Linked DNA regions of Mus musculus. The protein of the gene in region 3 binds, or shares a complex with, the protein of the main gene of each other region. Links are inferred from orthologs where the notes say so. Each region holds a gene or a part of one and is shown on either strand. Other genes may lie near its edges.

Region 1 (6,005 bases), on a different chromosome or scaffold from region 3:
GGTCAGCCTGATCTACAGGGTGAGTTCCAGCTCAGCCAGGACTACACAGAAAAACTCTGTCTTGAAAAATACATAAATAACAATTTCTGATTTTTAGCAGACTCTCAAAGGGGTTTGAAGCCCCTAGAAAGACATTAGGACAGGAATGAAAGGAAAGAAACACCGGGAAAGGAGATACTGTTCATCTCAGATAGTGAATAACAGCCCTTCCTCTCTGGACCTCAGATTCCCTATATGGCCTGGGAAAAAATAGCTTCCTGTTCCCACACTATGTAAACCTGTATCATGGAATTCTAAGAATCAGAGGTTCTATGATGGCTGGGGCTGGGGTGGGGGTTTTGTGGTGGTAGTCAAATGTCAGGTAGGAAGAAGAAAGGTCAGTTTGATGTCCTGTCTGTCTGTCTGTCACTGCCTCTCTGCCCCACGTCTAGCATCCTCATGACTCAGGTAGGCTGAGGACAGGGTAGATGCCAGACTCTGTTCCCTGAGAGGAAATTGGCAGTGGGAAGTTCATTTCCGTTGGCTGCAGGAATGTCTTTGCTGCCTGTGTACCTGTTCCAGTCTCAACAGGGCCCGGGGGGCCACAGAAGGGAGCTCCAGGGGGCAGCCAGCTCTCTCTCATGGGTTTTTATGTGGGTGCTGAGGATCTGAAGGCAGGTGCTCCCTCACCTTGCACAGCAGTCGCTTACACGCTGAGTCATATCCTCAGCCCATTACACCCTTTCTTCCTTCCTTCTTTCTTTCTTTCTTTCTTTCTTTCTTTCTTTCTTTCTTTCTTTCTTTCTTTCTTTCTTTCCTTCTTTCTTTCTTTCCTTCTTTCTTTCCTTCTTTCTTTCCTTCTTTCTTTCCTTCTTTCTTTCCTTCTTTCTCTTTCTTTCTTTCTTTCTTTTTCTTTCTTTCTTTCCTTCCTTCCTTCCTTCCTTCCTTCCTTCCTTCCTTCCTTCTTTCTTTCTTTCTTTCTTTCTTTCTTTCTTTCTTTCTTTCTCTTTAAATTTTGAGACGGGGTCTCATTTATCCCAGGCTAACCTGTTGGGATCATAGGCCTGGGCCAATGCGACTGATTTATGAAGTGTTGGGGATACAACCCAGGGCTCCGTGCTTGTTAAGCGAATACTTCATGAACTGAGCTATGTGTCTGGCACTCTTTTTAGCCTTCTGTTCCCTTTTTGTGGTAAGAGAGATTGAACTCAGGACCTCGTGCCTGCTAGAGAAGCACTCTTCTGCTGAGCCACACCCCAGCACCCACTGTTAGACTCTAGGTAAGCATTCTATCAGTAAGCTGCATCCCCAGGCCCAGATACTGAATATGTGACTGAAGATGCTTCATTTTACCAAAGATTTTCATGTGTGATGTGATTAGGGTAGAGACAATACCCTTCTTTTGCAGAAGTTAAGGCTTCTGAAGGAAAAGGGGGGGGGGGAGGAAGAGGGCGGGAGACAGAGAGAGAGAGAGCAGAGAGCACGCCAGCAGAGAGGGGGGTGGGCAAAGAGGAAACAGACACTAGGGGAAAGACTTGGTCTGGATCAGAGGTTTTGATTGATGGTAGGCTGGGTTGGCTCCCATTGGTTTACCCAGGAACAAGTCCCTCCTATTCCATCTCCAAGGGATCCAGAAGTTTCCAGCTCTGGGGTGGGATGGTAGGTGTCTAAAGACTCCCCACAGGGTGCTGGCCTTAGGGATCAGGACAGGCCTGACCTTTCCAAGTCAATCAGGAAGCAGATGGGTCCTGCACTTTAATCTCCTCGCAGCTTGCAGCCTCTTCCCCCAGGCTCCCCAGGGCTTGTTGATGCCTGGGGTAGAGTCTGGGAGGAGGCAAGGGACAGCCAGTGGGAGAAGCACTGGGCGGGCTCTCCCAGCCTCTAGGCTTCTGGAATGACTTCTATACCCAGGCACTTGTTAAGCACCTACTGTATGCAAGGACTGTCCCTCACATGAGTAATACAACAGCCCACTTGACACTCAAGGTTCCTGTCCCCGAAGAAGTTACAGACAGACAGAAGGCAACAGGCTACAAACACAGTGCTGTGAGATGGTTGTAGGAGTGGTGGGTAGGAGTGAAAAAGGACATGGAAGAGGAGCTGAAGACACCATAGGCCAGTCAGGGAGAGAGTGTGGAGGAATGAGTACTGAAAGAAGCTCACTGGATTGGAGATTGCTGAAAGGAGGAGTAGGCAATCAGCACAGGCTAGCTGGGAAGAGGCCTGGGACCTGTCACCGGGTACCAGGAGCTTTCATTTTCTGGCAAGTCTATTCATTTTGTTTTGCAATAATGCAGAAAGGACCTAGGGCCTGCACATGGTAATCAAGGGCTCTGCCACTGAGCCACACCCCAAGCCCCTCACTGAGGGATTCTAGGCAGGGGCTCTACCACTGAGCCACACCCCCAGTCCCTCACTGGGGGATTCTAGGCAGGGGCTCTACCACTGAGCCACGCCCCCAGCTCCTCACTGGGAAATTCTAGATAGGGGGACTCTTGGAAGCCTTTGGAAGTTCAAGAAGAAAAGAACAAGAGCAGATTCCCCTAGAAGGTCTCCTGATTGCTCTGTTTGTAGTTAATTGAGGGAGGCAGAATGATAGAGCAGATGCTGTCACAGCCCCTGAGCAGTGATGGTAACATACAGCAAGAGAGGGATTAGTGACACAGGGTCTATCTGAAGATAAAGCAGGAAGGACTTTCCTTGGGAAGAAGAAAGACTTGAGTTTCTTAGGCTTACTGTGTGACTCCAGGTTTATCCCTTCCCCTTTCTGGACTATAATTTCCTCATTTGTCTAGTATGCTTTAACCAGTCTGTCTGTCTGTCTCCCTCTCTCGCTTTTCTCTCTCTTAAATTACACTTATTTATTTATTTATTGCCCTGGTATGTGTGTGGAGAACAACTTCTGGGAGTGAGTTTTCTCCTTTTGGCATGTGGGTATTGGGAATAAAATCAGGGCGTGATGCTTAGCAGCAAGCAACTTCTTGGGCTTTTAAGTGTGTTCTGGGGATTTTTAAGAGGTGGCTTCCCAGTCTCTGTGTCTTTTCTCCAGACTGCGTGGCACTTTCTCTGTTCATTGTCTTAGACTGGATTTCCAAGTATGATCTTGTTTGTTTGTATGGGTTTCTTTCTTTCTCTTTATTTTTCCTTCAAAATAAGCCTCTTTGTAGTCCTGACTGTCCTGAAACTTACTCTGTGAACAGGCTAGCCTCAACTGCAGATATCAGCTTGCCTCCTGAGTTTAAAATGCTTTGAAGCTGGGTCTAGTGGTGCCTGCCTATAGTCTCACCATTTAGGAAGCAAGGATGCTCACAAGTTTCAGAAAAGTCTGGGCTACATAGTAAGATCCAGCCACAAAAATTCATCAAGCCAACCAACATATGTAGGGGATGTGGCTCAGTTGTTACAGCACCTTCCTTGAATGCATGGGACCCAGGATAACAATCCAAGCTCTGTGTAAACTGTGCATGGTGGAGCACTCCTGGCATCCCAATACTCACAAGGCTGAAGCATTGAGGTCATCCTCAATTACATGCCAGGTTCAAAGCCAGCCTGGACTACATGAGAGAGGGAGCAAGATTGGTTTATATCCGAGTAAACTAAATATATACAGACCCTCCAGTCATCAGGTGAGGGGTTTGGGGCATGATTGTTCTCTACCTTTTTTTTTAAAGATTTATTTTATGTATATGAGTGCACTGTAGCTGACTTCAGACACATTGGAAGAGGGCATCAGGTCCCATTACAAATGGTTGTGCGCCACCATGTGGTTGCTAGGATTTGAACTCAGGTCTTCTGGAAGAACAGTCAGTGCTCTTAACCGCTGAGCCATCTCTCCAGCCCTCCTCTATCTTTTGGGGTGTTCTTTGCTTTAAACTTGTAGATCTTCTCAGAATAAGGGTTCTGGGACCTCACTGGACAGTGGGAAAGGAGAGGGAAGCCTGTGAGGGCTTCTCCCACTGCTGGCACCAACCCCAGGCTCCTTTTCAGAGTCTAACAGCTCCTGCTCTGTCCCACTGTCAACCCCGAGGCCCTTTTATGGCCGTGGGGCTCTGGGAAATGGGCTGTTTGGGAAAGGGGACTGAGGGCAGAGATTTCCCACCTTGGGCATCAGGACCTTGGACAGATCTGAGTGGTCCACTGCTTCAGTTTGTTAAATCTCTGAATCTGCTGTTTCTTTCTGTATGTGAATGTATGAGTGTGGTGTGTATGTTCACGCGCACGCATGTGAGTGCTTCTGCTTACTATGTTATACATGCAGGAGTCAGGGGACAACCTATAGAATTGGTTCCTTTCTTCCATGGTGTGAACTCCTGGAATCAAACTCAGGTTGTAAAGCTTGGCTGCAAGCTCCTTTCCCCACTGAGCCATCTCCACACCGCTCACCATCCATTGCTTACTTAGAAACAGGTTTTCACAGCTTCCAACCCAAGGTGCACTGGAGGATGATTTTGATTCTCCAGCCTCCACCTTCTGGGTTCAAAGACACGTGCCAACCTGTTGGGTTTTTGTTGTTGGGTTTTTTTTAAAGATTTATTTATTTATTTTATGTATACCAGTACACTATAGCTGTACAGATGGTTGTGAGCCACCATGTGGTTGCTGGGATTTGAACTCAGGACCTTCAGAAGAGCAGTCAGTCAGTGCTCTTAACCGCTGAGCCATCTCTCCAGCCCCCGTTGTATCTTTAACTTGTATTTGGAAAGCCCGTCTATTGCCTGGCACCCTCAACCCCATGCTCTTAGACATCTCTTCCTTGGGGTGATACTCAAGCAGGCTTTGTTGGGGTGTTCCTCTGTCTTCCACAGTAATAACGGAAGGTACTGGGGAGGTCAGTATGGACATCCATGCCAGTTTCTCTAATGTGTTTTCTCCCCTCAGGCCTAGCAATCTCAGCTCTCAATGCAGTCGTGAGTGGAACAACTTCATCTCCACTCCTCAGTCTCCACCAGGATCAACTCTGAGTCTCCTGGAACCCCCTTCAGAGTCCCCCTCCTACACACAATCCTGTGCTCCACCACTTACTCACCTTCCTGTTTCCTAGCATCCCTTCCCACAGTCACCAGCCTTTACAAGTCCTTCCTCTTTGTCTGTCCCCAGAGGACACCTCATTTTTTTTCCTGCTTTGGTGACTTTACATAGTTCTCTTTCCAGCTGGTGTCCTAGCAGATGCCAGCACTCTTAAAATTGCATCTTGCCAACTCTGTGACTTCTCTCCATGCTCCCATGTCTTTCCTTAGTCTTCTAGAACATTCCATCCCATTGGTACTTCACCATGTCCATATTGACTTCCTAAGATTTCAATAAGCATGACACCGCTGGTGTCTTCATCTCCTCTGTAAACACTGCCTTGACCTTTTTTTTTCTGGTGCCATCTTTGTGCTCTGGTTGTGTAGATAGCCCATTGACATTAGTTCCACCTCTTATCCTTACCTTCATCATCCCTTGACACTCTTCCTCTCAAGTCCTCCCTTTGCTTAGCCTGCCACAAAGCAAACCCAGACCTCAGTCCTCGTGAACTGTCTCCTGTGATGTTCCCCTGAGCCTCCAAAGAGGGGGCTCAGGGGGCCTGATGGCCTCCCGCCCCCCGTGGCCCTGTAGCCCCAGCGGGCCAGGGGAAGCTCCTGGGAAGCCCCATCGCCCAGGATGGACAACAGCACGGGCACAGGGGAGGGCTGCCATGTGGACTCTCGAGTGGACCACCTCTTCCCACCATCTCTCTACATCTTCGTCATCGGGGTGGGGCTGCCCACCAACTGCCTGGCCCTGTGGGCAGCCTACCGGCAGGTGCGCCAACACAATGAGCTGGGCGTCTACCTGATGAACTTGAGCATTGCAGACCTGCTGTACATCTGCACTTTGCCGCTGTGGGTCGACTACTTCCTCCACCATGACAACTGGATCCACGGCCCTGGCTCCTGCAAGCTCTTTGGCTTCATCTTCTACAGCAACATCTATATCAGCATCGCCTTCCTGTGCTGCATCTCCGTGGACCGCTACCTGGCTGTGGCTCATCCTCTGCGCTTTGC
Region 2 (5,764 bases), on a different chromosome or scaffold from region 3:
TCGCTGAAGGCTGCTTCCAGAATGCCCTTTATAGACTGTCTTGCTTTCTTCCTAAAGTCTTTCCCCAAGAGGGCATACAGGAAAGGGTTGAAGCAACTATTGGCAGATGCTAAAGCAATGGACATGTGGTCCCAGGACATCACAGCTTCCCCCAAGGAACTTTCTGGATCAGTAATCAATAGCAGGACTCCGACAAGATGGTATGGAGTCCAGCAGATAAAAAAGACAGTGACCACAGCCACAGCCACCCGAAAGGTTTTGTTCCGAGACTTGGTGAAGTTGGTTTTTCGCATTCTGAAGACGATGAGGCTGTAACAAATTACCATGATGAAAAACGGCACCAGGAAGCCCACCACCAGCCTTGTGATGGTTATTGCCATCAGCGGTGTCGGCACATGATTGTCATACGTGAATTGGTCAACATAATCCCCCTGGAAATCATAGGGGTATAAATGACCACTAGAAGCAGTAGGGAAAAGTTCTGTGTGAGCAGAGAGAAAAGCGTCAGCGTTCAGTGTATTGGATTTACGATCTTCAACAGGAAACCCGCTGGGTACGGCGGCTGTGAGGACATTAGGAGGCTTTCCACCATAATGGGGTTGTTGGTTTGCTGAATCTAGAGAGAATGAGTCTTCAGGAGATGTTAGGAATGGCTGTGACTGGAGGGCAGTGGTAACTGTCCAAAAGTAATCCCTTGCCTGTACAGAGGAAGGAGCTGACCTGTCATTCATATGTCCAGTTAGCTGAGCAGTGGAGTTATCAGTAGAATTGCTTTCTGGTAGACTTAGTTTGTACACGTAGTCCCAATAATCATATGACCTGGAGGAATCAAAATTATATCTACATATACTGCGATTGTCCATAATGAACAGATCACGGTATACAAATACGGGCACACACATCACAAAGGCTACCACCCAGACACATCCACAGATGGCGAAGGCGGTTCTCACGTTTCGATGATTCTGGCACCAGATTGGCTTATGTACTATCAGACATCGGTCCAGGCTAATGGCAGTAAGCAGGAAGACACTGGCAAACATGTTGAGAATAATGATGGATGGGATAAGTTTGCACAGGAACAAGCCATAGGGCCAGTGTCCTTGGAGAATCAGGTGAGCCAAGGAGAAGGGCAAGGAGAGGCAGCAGAGGAAATCGGCCAGGGTGAGATGGAGGAACCAGACTGTGTTCACGGTCGTCTTCATCTTTACGCCAGCTACCCACAGCACCAGCCCATTGCCTAGCAGTCCCAATAGACAAGTGAGACCAAGAATGACCATGGAGGCAATGTCTTGGGGTTGAAACAGAGGCCGTGAGTGTAGGTCAGTTGAATTGGTGTCAGCATCGAAAGACTCCATGGCTCAGTCTGCGAAATGACAAAGAAGATGTTAAAGCTCATGGTGAATTTATAAAAGTATGTGCTTTTAGGAGTCTTATGTGATGGTACACCCTCTCAAAGCCAGAGGCCCCCCTCACAGAACCTCGTTAGCACTCCTTCCTCAGAATAGACACATTTTCTGATAGACAGTTTCAGGTCTATGCTATTGATTTAAATAGGTATCTAAAAGGTAACTTTATTTGGAAGTCCACATCAGCTTAAATTCCACCCCCCTACACTTTATTTTACACCTCCCTACTTCTGTTGTTTGAGGTTTTTTTTTTGCAGTACGCACCCTGGGCAGCTCTCTGCTACTGAGATTCGGGCTTACCCAGTGGCTTTCGGCACAGGCTCTCCATGTTGTCTAAGCTGGCTGACTTCCAACTGACTATATTGTAGAAGAGGCTGACTGGAAGCTATGATTCTCCTGCCTCCGTCTTCTGAGTGCTGGCCGGACAGGCATTGCTACCAAGCATTGCCGTGCTACGTTCTGCTCAGTGTCTGCTGCCCAAACTGAATAGATGCCTCAGTGAGAAAATATACAAAAACTTGTGGGCAGACTCTCCCTGATCTGGCATCATTGGAGGACTTTCCAAAACTTTAGCACACCAACAATAGCATATAAAAGCTGAGAACTGCATATTTTCATTAATTAGTTGACAAAGTATGTGTGTGTGTGTGTGTGTGTGTATGTGTGTGCGTGCGCGCACACGCGTGCACATGTGTGCATGGAGGTCAAAGGGTGACTTTTGGGACTTAGTTTTAGCATGCACTTATTAGCTGGCCCTCAAGGATTCCTTCATTCATCTTTTGCATGTATATATACATTTTAAAAACAAAATTTAGTGGGTTTCAATTATATCATGCATATTTAAAAATTGATGGTGATAAAATACATATGTAGCATAAAGTCAGCCTTTTTAATTGACCATTTCCAGTGCACAGTTCAGCAGTACTTGCCCTAGTCACTTTGAATGCAACTGACTTCCAAAATGTTCTCATCTAATAAAAAAACATGCATGCATAGGTACACACACATATGTATATTTGTTTTGTTTTTCAGGACAGGGTTTCTCTGTGTAGCCTTGGCTGTCCTAGAACCTGCTCTGTAAATTAGGCTGACCCCAAACTCAGAGATCTGCCTGCCTCTGCCTCCCGTGGGCTGGGATTAAAGGTGTGCTCCACCACTGCCCATCTGAAATTGATATTTTAGTGTGTGTGTGTGTGTGTGTGTGTGTGTGTGTGTGAAGCATATTTTGTTTATAAAGTGATCTAACTACAGACATTGGATTGCTTTTACCTAATTTAGGGCATTTAAATAGTATATTATCTGCTTTCTATTGCTGTGATAAAGACTGACCAAAAAGCAACTTGGACAGGAAAGGGTTTATTTCCTACATATTCCAGGTCAGAGCCAAGGCAGGGAGGGACTCGAAGGTAGAAACTGAAGCAGAGGCCACAGAGGAATGCTATTCACTGGGTAGCATCTCATGTCTACCCACACTGCCTTCTTCAAAGTATCCCAGGACCTGCCCAGAGAGAACACTGGGCTTGACCCTCCCAAGTCAATGTTAACCAAGAAAATGACCCACAGCCTTGTCTACAAGCCAATCTGGTGGAGGCACTTTCTCAATCGAGGTTCCTCTTTCCAGAAACTCTGGCTAGTAGCAAGTTTACAAGAAAGCCACCAAGGGTGGCAGTTGTGGACCTAGCACATAGTACTCTCTAAACTTGCTGTTTCAACTCAAGTCCCCACTTTTAACTTTTAACTTAAGGAAGATTCAATGTAAGGAATACCAAGTTTTCATCCAATTTTTTTTCCAACTTTGGGCGCTTATTGCTCTGAACAGTCATTCTTTTTAGTTTGTTTGTTTGAGGCAGGGTTTCTCTGTGTAGCCCTGACTTTCCTGAAATTCCCTCTGTAGACCAGGCTGGCCTCAAACTCTTGCCTCTGCCGCCTGAGAGAGGGGCTTAAAGGTGTGTGTCACCAAGCCCATCTTGAACAATCATTCTTAATTCTCTCCTTCATGGTTTGGGGTTATTTCGTCTTCTGCTCTTATTATTCTGCTAAAATTGCATCTAGAACCCAAAGCCAGACGGACTTCTCTATCTTCTACAGTGAAGTTCTCTGCAGTCTGCCCTCCTGGTCGGTGAGATCCTTCCCTAGTTCTGAGCACTCGGACAAATGCATCCTTTCTGCCCACGTCTCATCCCTTCAGATCAATGCTGCTTTATATTCCTAAGCAGGGCTAATGGTTTCCACTTAGAAATACGCCCCTAGAATGGCTTCTTCCATGCCCTACACTAAAATTCTACCCATTAAAATACTTACTCCTCAAGGTTAACCTCAATGCACTATATCTAAAACAGTCTCTTATAATCCTCGAAGAAACTGATTCTTTGGTCTCTCACTTGTACATGTGTGTGCTGACTCATGTACATGAATGTAGAAGTGTGTGGTTGATTTTTTTCTGACATGTCCTATGAGGAGGCACATGTAATCTTAGGTTGTAATTTTTATAGTGGCCCTAAACTGTGTGATGGTAAAGACAAGACCTGTTTACAAATGCCTCTTCCATATCATTTAGCATATGGATCAAGGGTCACTTTTTTTTTCTTTTGTTTTTTTCTGAGATGAAGTTAGATTATATAGACCAGGCTGGCCTCAAACTGGAGATCTTCTGCCTCAGTCTACCAAATGTTGGGATTACAACGCATGTACCCCCACGGCCAGGGGGATGCTTACCTTTCGGGTTTAATTTTTTCATTTTCAATTACATTAAAAATATTAGTCTTTAGCCATTTTATTTTTTTCCCATATGGCTTCTTAATTCCTATGCTGTCTCTTCTAAATTTCTCTCTTGATTTTAAATTCCCAAACATTACTGGATGTAGTAACAGTTTATATCTTTAAAAATGATTAATTTTCATTTTATGTGTGTTGCTGTTTTGCTTGCATGCGTGTCTGTGGGATGGTGTCAGATTTCCTGGAACTGGAGTTACAGACAGTTGTGAGCTGCCATGTAGGTGCTGGGACTTGAACCCTGGTAGAGCAGGGTTCTGGAAGCGCAGCCACTGCTCCCAACCACCGATCATCTCTTCAGCCTCCTCCATTTTTATTTATTTGATTTGATTTGATTTTTTGGTTTGCTTGTTTTTAAATGGAAGCTGGGACATTTGGAAGCGATTCTGCTGAACTTGACAAAAGTTTGTGACAAGTCTTATGCGGTAAGCAGAAGTTAGGATAACAACAGAATAAGAAGAAAAGGAGAAACGATACCCACTCTGGTCTCTGTCTTTTTCAAGTCCTACCATTCCCTTATGTGAACGGCAAGAACTCGGATCTAGTGTCCCATTCCAACCTCAATGCGTACCATCCTAAGATGCTGAGAGCAAAGCCCACCCAGAGACTGCTAGGAACAGAGCAACCCACAGACATCCCTCGCTGTGCAGCTTTTGATGCTGAGATTCTGGAGATGACGTGGCTTTCACGTGACCGCAGCCGGGGAGAGCCCCAGCTACTCACCTAATAACGCCTAGGTTACTGTTCTTTTTTACTGCAGGGATCACATGACTGAGAAACTGTGGTCTCGATAATAAAGTGGACATAGCGATTTAAAATAACAGAAGTTGAAAGGAAAACATTCCAATGTAAGAGCAACTGAGTTCCGTGCTGTGAGGAATAGTTTAAATATCACAAATGATCTTCCTTGAAAGCTCACACCCTAAAAGTCATCCAGGACAAGACCACATTACATTTCCCCAAGTTCTGAGCAACCCCCCCCCAAAACCAAACCAAACAAAAACCCTCTATGTTTAAGTTTTTTATAAAGATTTCAGGATTGAGTTGGCCAGAGTAATTAAAAAAAAACCTGAAACTAAAATGTATTTATGATGAGTAAAAATTAGATTTAAATATCAAATAATAATTATGGAATGATAGAACCAGCTATTTTGATAAGGAATAGCTCAAAGAACGGGAGAGTTACAGAGAGCAACAGAAGAAGAATCCACATATGGGCATATATATATGTGTGTGTGTGTGTGTGTGTGTGTGTGTATATATACATAAAAATAAATGTGTGTACATGTGATCAATGATTACAGAAGCAAAACTAAGGGAAGAAAACATGATCTATAATCTAGGGGAATAAATAACATAAATTCATTATTATTTTCAGAATGAAAATATTAAAAGCCAAGATAAATAGAATGTATAGTATTTACATAAAAATAAAAGTAGACATGGAGATAAGACAGGAGAAATAAAAATTTGGGAAAGTTGGGAGGCAGAGACAGGCGGATTTCTGAGTTCAAGGCCAGCCTGGTCTACAAAGTGAGTTCCAGGATAGTCAGGGCTACACAGAGAAACCCTGTCTCGAAAAA
Region 3 (8,511 bases):
GGCCATCTTTCTCCTTCAAGACAGGTCCTTCTATTACGTTCAGATAAAGATACAATACAGAACAACTTTGGTCAGAACTCTGGTCAGGTCCAGGATGCATTTGCTGTACACTACATTCTGAGTTGCTGGGACACTCTAGTCTAGAGAGATCCATATATAAGTACTCATCTGTTGGAAAATGCTTTTTTACTACCCACTGCAGAACTTAGAAGAGACCACAGTCTTTTAGGTTATTCTTTATGATGACGTCTGTTACAGCATCGAACACGAACTGCACGTTCTTCGTATCTGTGGCGCACGTGAAGTGGGTGTAAATTTCCTTTGTGTCCTTCCTTTTATTGAGGTCTTCAAACTGACACTGAATATACGCGGCCGCTTCTTCATATGTGTTTGAGCCTGAGATGGGACAAAGGAAAGAAGCATGCAAGAACTTAAACTTGTCTGAGTAAAAGACACTTTAAAACACATATAGTCAGTTTTCTGCATATAAAATAGAGGGACTCCATAACTGCCCTCTCCCTTCTCGAGCAAAATGAACCTCTTTCCAAATGAAAAATACCATACATAAACTAATCTTTACAGGCCGTCTTTAAACCTAAAGATTCTGTTGTCTATGTTTGCTGTTCCTGTTTAAATCTCCAAGAGTCAGACTTTCTTATCTACCACACTCTTTCTTCTACATCCCTAAGCTGGAGAATTCAAGCCACCTAACCCTAAGGTTGGCCCACTGTTACTGTGCTAACCCCAGGGCAAATCAATAATGCCTGTCAAATGCTTCCTTCTCTCCCTCCATATTCACTCATTAATTATCCTTTCACAATTATTTTTTGTTCATATCTGGAATATGGTTAAGGGCTATGAAGTTATCGAAAGAGAAAAATGGGGTGGGGAGGGTCATCCAGCTTTTACTTGAGGGGGTAGAGACTGGCTCCGAGTAAGAACAGTTCAGAAATGGGGTGGCAGAACCTGAGGATACGTGCACACACTCTGACCCAGAGACCCAATGCTGAGCTGCAGGCTTGAGGACTGTGCTGTGGTCAGAGAAGAGTCCCAAAGGCTGCTAGAGCACAGCATGGCCTTCTACGTTGGGAAATATCCTGCAAGTCCATGCACTGTCACTGACAGGGACAATCTGGGAGAATCAGATCATTAGCTGCCATTCAGAAACAAGGACTTTGAATCCTCTTCTGGACCCAAGGAGCCAAACATAAACACGGATGCACCACATGTGACCCAGCTGTTGTTGCCAACCAATGAAAAGGAAATCAGCCGCTCTAATGATCATTTTTCAGGGGGATGAGGGCAGGGGATGAATCAGGTGAGACTGAAAGAGGGTGGGAGAGCTTTCGGGGTGATGGGAAAGTTCAGTTTCTGGATTCAGGCAATAAAGGGCCACTTGGTCCTGTTTGTGTGTTCATTTCCCTCCTTTTCTTTTTATAAGCTTTTTTTTTTTTTTTTTTTTTTTTTTGGTGGGGGTTTTTGTCTGTGTGTGTGTTTTTTTTTTTTTTTTTTTACTTTTTGAGATTATAACAGAATCACTTCATTTTTCATTTCCTTGCCTGCCTTGGAACACCTATCAAATAGCCTTCCTTGCTCTCTTTCAAATTCACAGCCTTTTTCATTGACTGCTGCTCCATGTACAAGTATGTGTACAAAGCTCCAACCTGCTCAGTGTGTTTCAGGTTGTTTATGTGGGCATTCTCAGGGCTCACCAAGGTATTGGATAGAAACCTGGTGCGCTCCTCCCTGAGAAGTTTCTGCTCTCACATCTCTGATTTGTCTGTCACTCTTTGAGTAGAATTGAGGCCTCTTGGATTTTCTCTCATCTACTCTGGGATGTCTATTGGTGTTGTCCTTGTTTAGCTCATGCCTAGGCAGTCATGTGAGACTCTGTACGTAGCTTCTGACATTACTGTGAGATACACTCTCACATCCAACTCTAATCTTCTGGCTCTTACAGTCGTTCTGCCTCCACTTCCATGTCATTCCCCAGGCCTTAGATGCAGGAGCTAATTCACAGATGCATGAATTGGAGCTGGACCCCACAATTCTGTATTTGATTGTTTGTGGTTTTCTAAACATGTTTCATACTAGAGCTAACTGCATATTTGTCCACTTGATACTGTTAGAAAATATTATATGGCATATAACAGAAAAAATCTATTAAATCCCTCTTTTATAATAACCCAAATGACTCATGTGCCTTTCAGGATTCTTTGTGCTCCCCGCTTCTGCTCTGAGGTGCTCTGTTCCACAACTGGGTCTCAGCGTTTACCATGACAACTCAGGATACAAAGTGCTGCTGTGTTCTACAGCACTGCTTCTCTGCAGTCCACCACCATCCAAGATGTTCACTCTTTCCACATCTTTTTTTTTTTTAATTAGGTATTTTCCTCGTTTACATTTTCAATGCTATCCCAAAGGTCCCCCATACCCACCCACCCCCAATCCCCTACCCACCCACTCCCCCTTTTTGGCCCTGGTGTTCCCCTGTACTGGGGCATATAAAGTTTGCAAGTCCAATGGGCCTCTCTTTGCAGTGATGGCCGACTAGGCCATCTTTTGATACATATGCAGCTAACTAACCAAACCCAGATGGGTTCTGTACCACTTTAAAAAACAAAACAACGCAAAACAAGAAACTCTGACAGATAATACAAACAGTATCTCAGCTTTGTTGTATGTTTTCTTACATGTTTTGCTGGATCTCAATTCTTCTTCACCATTACACATCCTGAGATAGACTCTAATGACTCTATCCTGCCAACCCTACCCATTGTTATCACACCATACATAAAAATACCATGCAACGCATGGGAAATGCCACATGACAAGGCCCAGAGAGAAGTTGTGTTTAGTGTGCTAGACAGCATGAATGATACAACCACCGTCACTGAGTTTCTACTTTAATTGTTTTATGTAATAATAAGCCTTTAAAAATCCAATCATTCAGTGCTCTAAAATTTGTATGCAATGTCTTGTTCGGTTAAAGAAGCAATTAGAATATAACTCCTAAATTAATTACAAAGGCGTTTGTGTGAAGTAATTTGTACTGGGTACAGTACTCATAGGCAATACACATTCTGAGTAGCTAAATGACTGTGCCCCAGGGGCTTCCAGATCCATGAATAAACTGGTGAACACATTCTTTGATCTGACTTTCAGTCTGAACAAGAACAAAGTGTGTGTGTGTGTGTGGGGGGGGGCATATATGTGTTTCAGTGTGTACACATTCATGGTGGGAGCATAGGTACTGTCTACCATGGGAACTTTCCTGAAAGAATATATGATTGAGTGAGGGCAACTTCAAAACTGGAAACTTTATGAGACAGTCAAAGGAGAAGGAGAGATTAGCTTGGCTTATGCTTCAGTGCTAAAAACCACATTCAAGAAACAGTTGGAAACAGAGGCAAGGGGCTGCAGAGGGATGTTCAGGGTCTGACAACACAATTCAACAGCCAGCATGACCATGAAAGGACTGGAAATGGATCCCGGTGAAATGGCAACTTACAATGAAGAAGGAGGAGGTGCTTTGCAAGTCAGCAGACAGAGGCAGGATACACCCAAGCAGGTGGGGGCTACACAGGGTTTATCCATAAAACATAAAGGCTCATAGTCGTAAGAACCAAGTGCTCATGGTGATGCAGGAAGCAACGGAACCAATTCTTAGAGCAAGTAGTGCAGATCTGAAATTATAATCTTAGCACTTGGGCTATCAAATGATTATGTAATAGTCTTGTGTTTACCAAGGAACAAGTCCTTTCTGCTTCCACTGAGACCCTAATTAACTGCTTGGTGCAGGCCTAGGTGCAGATGTGTGGTGCACTGGGGTCTCAAGATGGACTATATCTGAGCAGGGCTATCCAAGAACCAATGCCAACAGGCTGCTCAGCGTCAACTTGGAAGCAGCATTCACGCAATGCCCACCAACAACCAGTTCAGTGCAGCATTGACTCAAATTTTATTTAGAGTTTGAGAAGTTCTGGAGAATTATTTTTTGCTTTTTCAAACAGAATGAGGAAAAGGTTAAGAACATTTACATTTTAGATTTAGAGTTCATACAAACCAGTGAAAGTCTTATATTTTAAAGAAACAGGATGGATATAAATATATATATGAAAACCAATTTACTTTGCTTATATATGAGGACTGGAAGGGTGTGTGGGGATAGATAGCTCTGGTCCTGGTATTCACTTTTTGTTTTGGAAACAGGTTCTCATATACCCTGATCTGTCTTTGGACGTTCTATGTAGACCAGGATGGCCTTGAAGTACTGATGTTCCTCTTCATCCCCCAAGACTGGGGCTCATAAGTGTGAACACCAGACTTGCTTTCAATATCAGCTTGGGATGTGCTCCAAGGAAGTAAACCAAATTAAAACCAAGGTTTTAACCCAGTTCCTAATTTTATAGATGAGGCACTGGAACATAGATAAAGTATCTGCTTTGTTTGAGATCACAGACCAAATTTTGTAAAAGCTAGGCCTTTACTCACAGAGGTACATTGTCTATGAGAGTCTCACTATTAAGGCCTGGATTTCCTATCAAAGTTTCCCTGGCACCGTGGAGGAAGTGGCTGCCTCTCTGGCTCCTCTTCACTTGTCTTCTTACAGTAATATTCATGGTCCCTCTTAGAAGCAGGGTGACTGCTATTGTTTATCATGAATGTGTTTGAGAGAAGATAGTGAGCAGAGACAGATCTTATCTTGTTTATCCAATCTGTGATCTGGTTATTTTTTTTTAACAAGTCAGTCTTTACATTTACAGAGACATGGAGACATCTCTGGAAATTACCTCCAAGCCTTTTCACAAAGCAAACCAGGGATGTTCAGAAAAACTTCTCCACACCTTAAGGGACTATTTGTGCTCAAATGCAGTTTGAAAAGTATGACACCCTCCAGTGAAAGAATTAGCATATCAATAAATTCAAACCAACACCTGCAAATCTTGCCATAGGGGGAATTTCACTCAGAAGCACAGGATTTGCTAGGTTACTCTAAGAGAGTGAAATACCTGCATATTCTGGGTAGCATATCGTGAGGGGGCTCTTTTTTATTTTTTCTTCGAAGAGGTCCTTCTTGTTGAGGAAAAGGATGATGGACGTGTCTGTAAACCACTTGTTGTTACAGATGCTATCGAACAGCTTCATGCTCTCGTGCATACGGTTCTGTAATTAAAAAAAAAAAAGAAATCATTTTCATGAACAGTGCAGTTTCTGAGGATCTGTTTTAAAAAGAACAAATGTGGCAACTGCCAGATCCTTTCAGCTGAAAAGCACGTAACACCCTGAAGGATGTCCCAGTTGGTGTCTCAACTCCAATTTTGTCTCTAACCTGTTCTGTCTGAGTCACTTTGGCTTATTTCAAAGTGAAGAAGAAAGAGCCTTAAAGGTTTACTCCCTGTGATGGAAGGGAAGCTGGCCCCGGGGTGAAAGCAATTAACTCCTGATGAAAAAACCCGAATGCCTTCCCTCTCCTCAAGCAACAACAATATACTAGACAACAGCTGGAGACCCTGCACAACCAGGGCTGTGACAATGTGACCAGATCACAGTTCGACCCAGACACTAGGACCATGCACACCCAGTGCTTCCGGCTTTTTCTTTTGCTCGTCTCAGCTTCTAACAACAGCCTAGGGTGCAGATACCCTGTTCTCCCAGGAAGGCTGTAATGAATGATTTTTTTTCCCTCTTCTTCCTGGCCAGCATCTTCTAATTAGACTTATCAGGTGACAGTTGGCCAGGTACAGTGGTTGTGGCTTCTATCTAGTCAGATCTGTGCTCTAGAGCTGATAATAATTCCAGAATACTAACTACATTCTTTGTCATTTCTGGACAAGCACAACATAGATGTTAGCGGGCACCTTGTTCAATGTCTTTCAAACATCACTGGCTCATGCCTGAGAGCTATAGGATGTCACAGTCAAGGGATGTCCACATGGGAACACATGGAGGAAATGTCACTGCTGCACAGGCCATCTAAGCTTTGCTTAGGAGGTAGGTGGAAGCTTTAAGAGCACTGTGTCAAATGGAGAGAGCTGAAATCCAATTAGCCCAGCACAGTGGATGTTAGAGAAGATGACTTCCAGTTCTTGTTTTCTATCCTTTCGTGCTGTGTTCAAAGAGGACACTGACACGTTTTACAGTGGGGAAATGCAAAAAATGTATGTTATGCCCCATTTCCCCCCATGACTGATGACGGTATGAACTTGATTTAGAAAAACCTGAAACCTGCCCATCATTTTCATATGTTTATAAGTGCCAGAGTTTTCAATGTATTAGAAAATACTTCCTAGAGTAATGGTATATTTATTGGATGTTACTTGAAAATTGTTTTTCTATAACTAGAGAAGTATAACATATAAGGAAGATTATAGACCGACAGAGTAACTCATGGGGAAATATGAGCCTTTGGGCAGATGCAGGCAATTCCCAGGTAGATGGATGGAGAAACACCTGTGCCTTCTAAGCATCGGTGCCCTCTGGGCTGCAGCAGAGGCGCTGAAGCAAAGAAATTGAACTTGCAAATACTTCGTTCATGAGCAAGGACTTCTCAAGGCTCCTCAGCTAAGGTCTTGGCAACGTGTGCAGCTCTGGACATTTCAGGCTGTACCCCTACAGCTGCTTCTACTTGCCATTTCTTCATCTTCAGCAAGAACCAGGTCATAGTCACTCAGGGCCACACAGAAGATGATGGCGGTCACCCCTTCAAAGCAGTGGATCCACTTCTTCCGCTCTGACCTCTGACCTCCCACGTCAAACATTCTGTAAGAGGAAAATGTACGATTTGACACCACATTAAATGTTCAAAAGCTCCGAGTTCTGTAATGCCAAAAAAAAAAAGTTTCACATAGCTTGGAGGCTGTGGGATGGGAAGAAAGGAGAAAAGGGACATAGTGGGAGGAAAAAAAATGTTACCAGTTAATTTTCTCAAAGGGAAAAATGTTAATAAATCATTCTTATTAAGCATTTGATTACAGCTAGAGTAACTATAAAGCAAAATCAAAAGTACTCTCCACACACAGCACATCTGGGTCCTTGAGATGGCCCAGAGAACGCCTAGCAGCCTGAGTTCAGCGCCTGGATCCTCTCCACACCCACTCTGTGGCATGTGTGTATGTGTGATATCCTGTGTGCATACACACACATAAACAAATAATAACAAATGAAAATTTAATTTTTTAAAAGCATAGACATCCATTAACAAACATATGAAAGCACTTGGGGACATCACAGCAGCTGAAGATGAATGCATCACACTGTTGTCACCACTGACAGTCCTACAAAGCAATGAAGGAAGCCAGAGATCAAAGAAGCATACTGAACTTGCCAGTCCCAGGCATTAGTGCTACACAACAGGGTTCCCCTATTTCAACCAAGAAATGAGTTCTCTTAAAACAGAGAGCAAGATGTTGGAGGAAAGAAAAAGCAATTACAGGTAAGAAAACGGTTCTGAAATAAAGTAATTCAGAAAGGGGCCAAAAGGTTTGTGTGGATTACAGAATAAAATGGAAAGGGGTAGGGGCTTGAAATTTAGAATAAAATTCCTCAATTTTTATATAAGGCACAATTATGGGGAATTGGAGGCTAATGTGCAAGGTTCTGGGACACAATCAAACAACATAATGCCAATGACCTTTTCTTCTTGTTCCTGGCAAGAGTTTATAAAGTTAAGCAAAAGTTTAAATTTGCATAGACTACATTATACAGCCTAGAAATAACCACTTATATAATGGAAGCGCTCTGTAAACTGGCACAGTTTTAAAGGCCCCATTTATCTTGATGGTACACTAATTAAAACCATTCCTATTTAATTCCCCACAGAGCAGTAGTGGCCTACAAACCAAATCTGAGTTTGTCCACTAAGGTTGTTACTTTTGTCATTATGGTTGGGCTGGAAGCCGCTCACTAAAGTATGTTATAACGAAAGGATCCTACCACAGCATAAATCAGAGTGCACTGGCTGGAAAGAGAACAGAGAGCAGAGTGGTCAAGATAATGACACGTCGTAAGAGAGATCAAACAAGAACAAAGGGAAAACCCATTTAATTAGATCAACATTTCTTAAATTGCCTCGGAATACAATTCATAGAGTTTTAGTATAACCTTAAGAAAGCTCTGTTACGACAAGTCCCTTCCGCTCGACTCGAGCCCCAGGCTACCTTGCCAGCAGAGTCTTGCCCAACACCCGCAAGGGCCCACACGGGACTCCCCACTGGATCCTAAGACCTCTGGTGAGTGGAACACAGCGCCTGCCCCAATCCAATCGCGCGGAACCTGAGACTGCAGTACATAGGGAAGCAGGCTACCCGGGCCTGATCTGGGGCACAAGTCCCTTCCGCTCGACTCGAGCCCCAGGCTACCTTGCCAGCAGAGTCTTGCCCAACACCCGCAAGGGCCCACACGGGACTCCCCACGGGATCCTAAGACCTCTGGTGAGTGGAACATAGCGCCTGCCCCAATCCAATCGCGCGGAACCTGAGACTGCGGTACATAGGGAAGCAGGATACCCGG

Evidence for each region. The genes of interacting proteins can lie anywhere in the genome.
Region 1: the proteins of Gnai1 (region 3) and Gpr4 are in contact, whole or in part, in a cryo-EM structure (PDB 8Z9P), measured with the Homo sapiens proteins. The link is inferred for Mus musculus from reciprocal best matches to the Homo sapiens genes GNAI1 and GPR4. Residues at the interface, in NP_002060.4 of Homo sapiens: Lys192, Asp193, Leu194, Glu318, Tyr320, Thr340, Asp341, Ile343, Ile344, Lys345, Asn347, Leu348, Asp350, Cys351, Gly352, Leu353, Phe354; in NP_005273.1 of Homo sapiens: Asn50, Leu52, Arg115, Ala118, Val119, Pro122, Leu123, Arg124, Arg129, Tyr201, Ile204, Val208, Val212, Ser213, Thr214, Glu218, Lys221, Ile222, Leu225, Asn290.
Region 2: the proteins of Gnai1 (region 3) and C3ar1 are in contact, whole or in part, in a cryo-EM structure (PDB 9IPV), measured with the Homo sapiens proteins. The link is inferred for Mus musculus from reciprocal best matches to the Homo sapiens genes GNAI1 and C3AR1. Residues at the interface, in NP_002060.4 of Homo sapiens: Glu28, Ala31, Arg32, Glu33, Val34, Lys192, Asp193, Leu194, His195, Lys314, Asp315, Glu318, Tyr320, Lys330, Phe334, Phe336, Asp337, Ala338, Thr340, Asp341, Ile343, Ile344, Lys345, Asn347, Leu348, Asp350, Cys351, Gly352, Leu353, Phe354; in NP_001313404.1 of Homo sapiens: Asn57, Arg120, Val123, Val124, Pro127, Ile128, Gln131, Asn132, Asn135, Val136, Tyr356, Ile359, Arg362, Met363, Arg367, Phe368, Lys370, Gln372, Lys374, Thr375, Val378, Ala379, Leu438, Gly439.

Annotation. Positions count from the first base shown.
Region 1 is NC_000073.6:19,216,533-19,222,537, forward strand, and holds part of Gpr4 (G-protein coupled receptor 4), read left to right. Parts: intron 1-4,857; 5' UTR 4,858-5,622; coding exon 5,623-6,005. UniProt on the Homo sapiens protein: Proton-sensing G-protein coupled receptor activated by extracellular pH, which is required to monitor pH changes and generate adaptive reactions. Activated by an optimal pH of 6.8-7.2.
Region 2 is NC_000072.6:122,849,899-122,855,662, forward strand, and holds part of C3ar1 (C3a anaphylatoxin chemotactic receptor), read right to left. Parts: intron 1,367-5,764; 5' UTR 1,359-1,366; coding exon 1-1,358.
Region 3 is NC_000071.6:18,266,814-18,275,324, forward strand, and holds part of Gnai1 (guanine nucleotide-binding protein G(i) subunit alpha-1), read right to left. Parts: intron 6,763-8,511; coding exon 6,633-6,762; intron 5,167-6,632; coding exon 5,013-5,166; intron 397-5,012; coding exon 206-396; 3' UTR 1-205. UniProt on the Homo sapiens protein: Guanine nucleotide-binding proteins (G proteins) function as transducers downstream of G protein-coupled receptors (GPCRs) in numerous signaling cascades.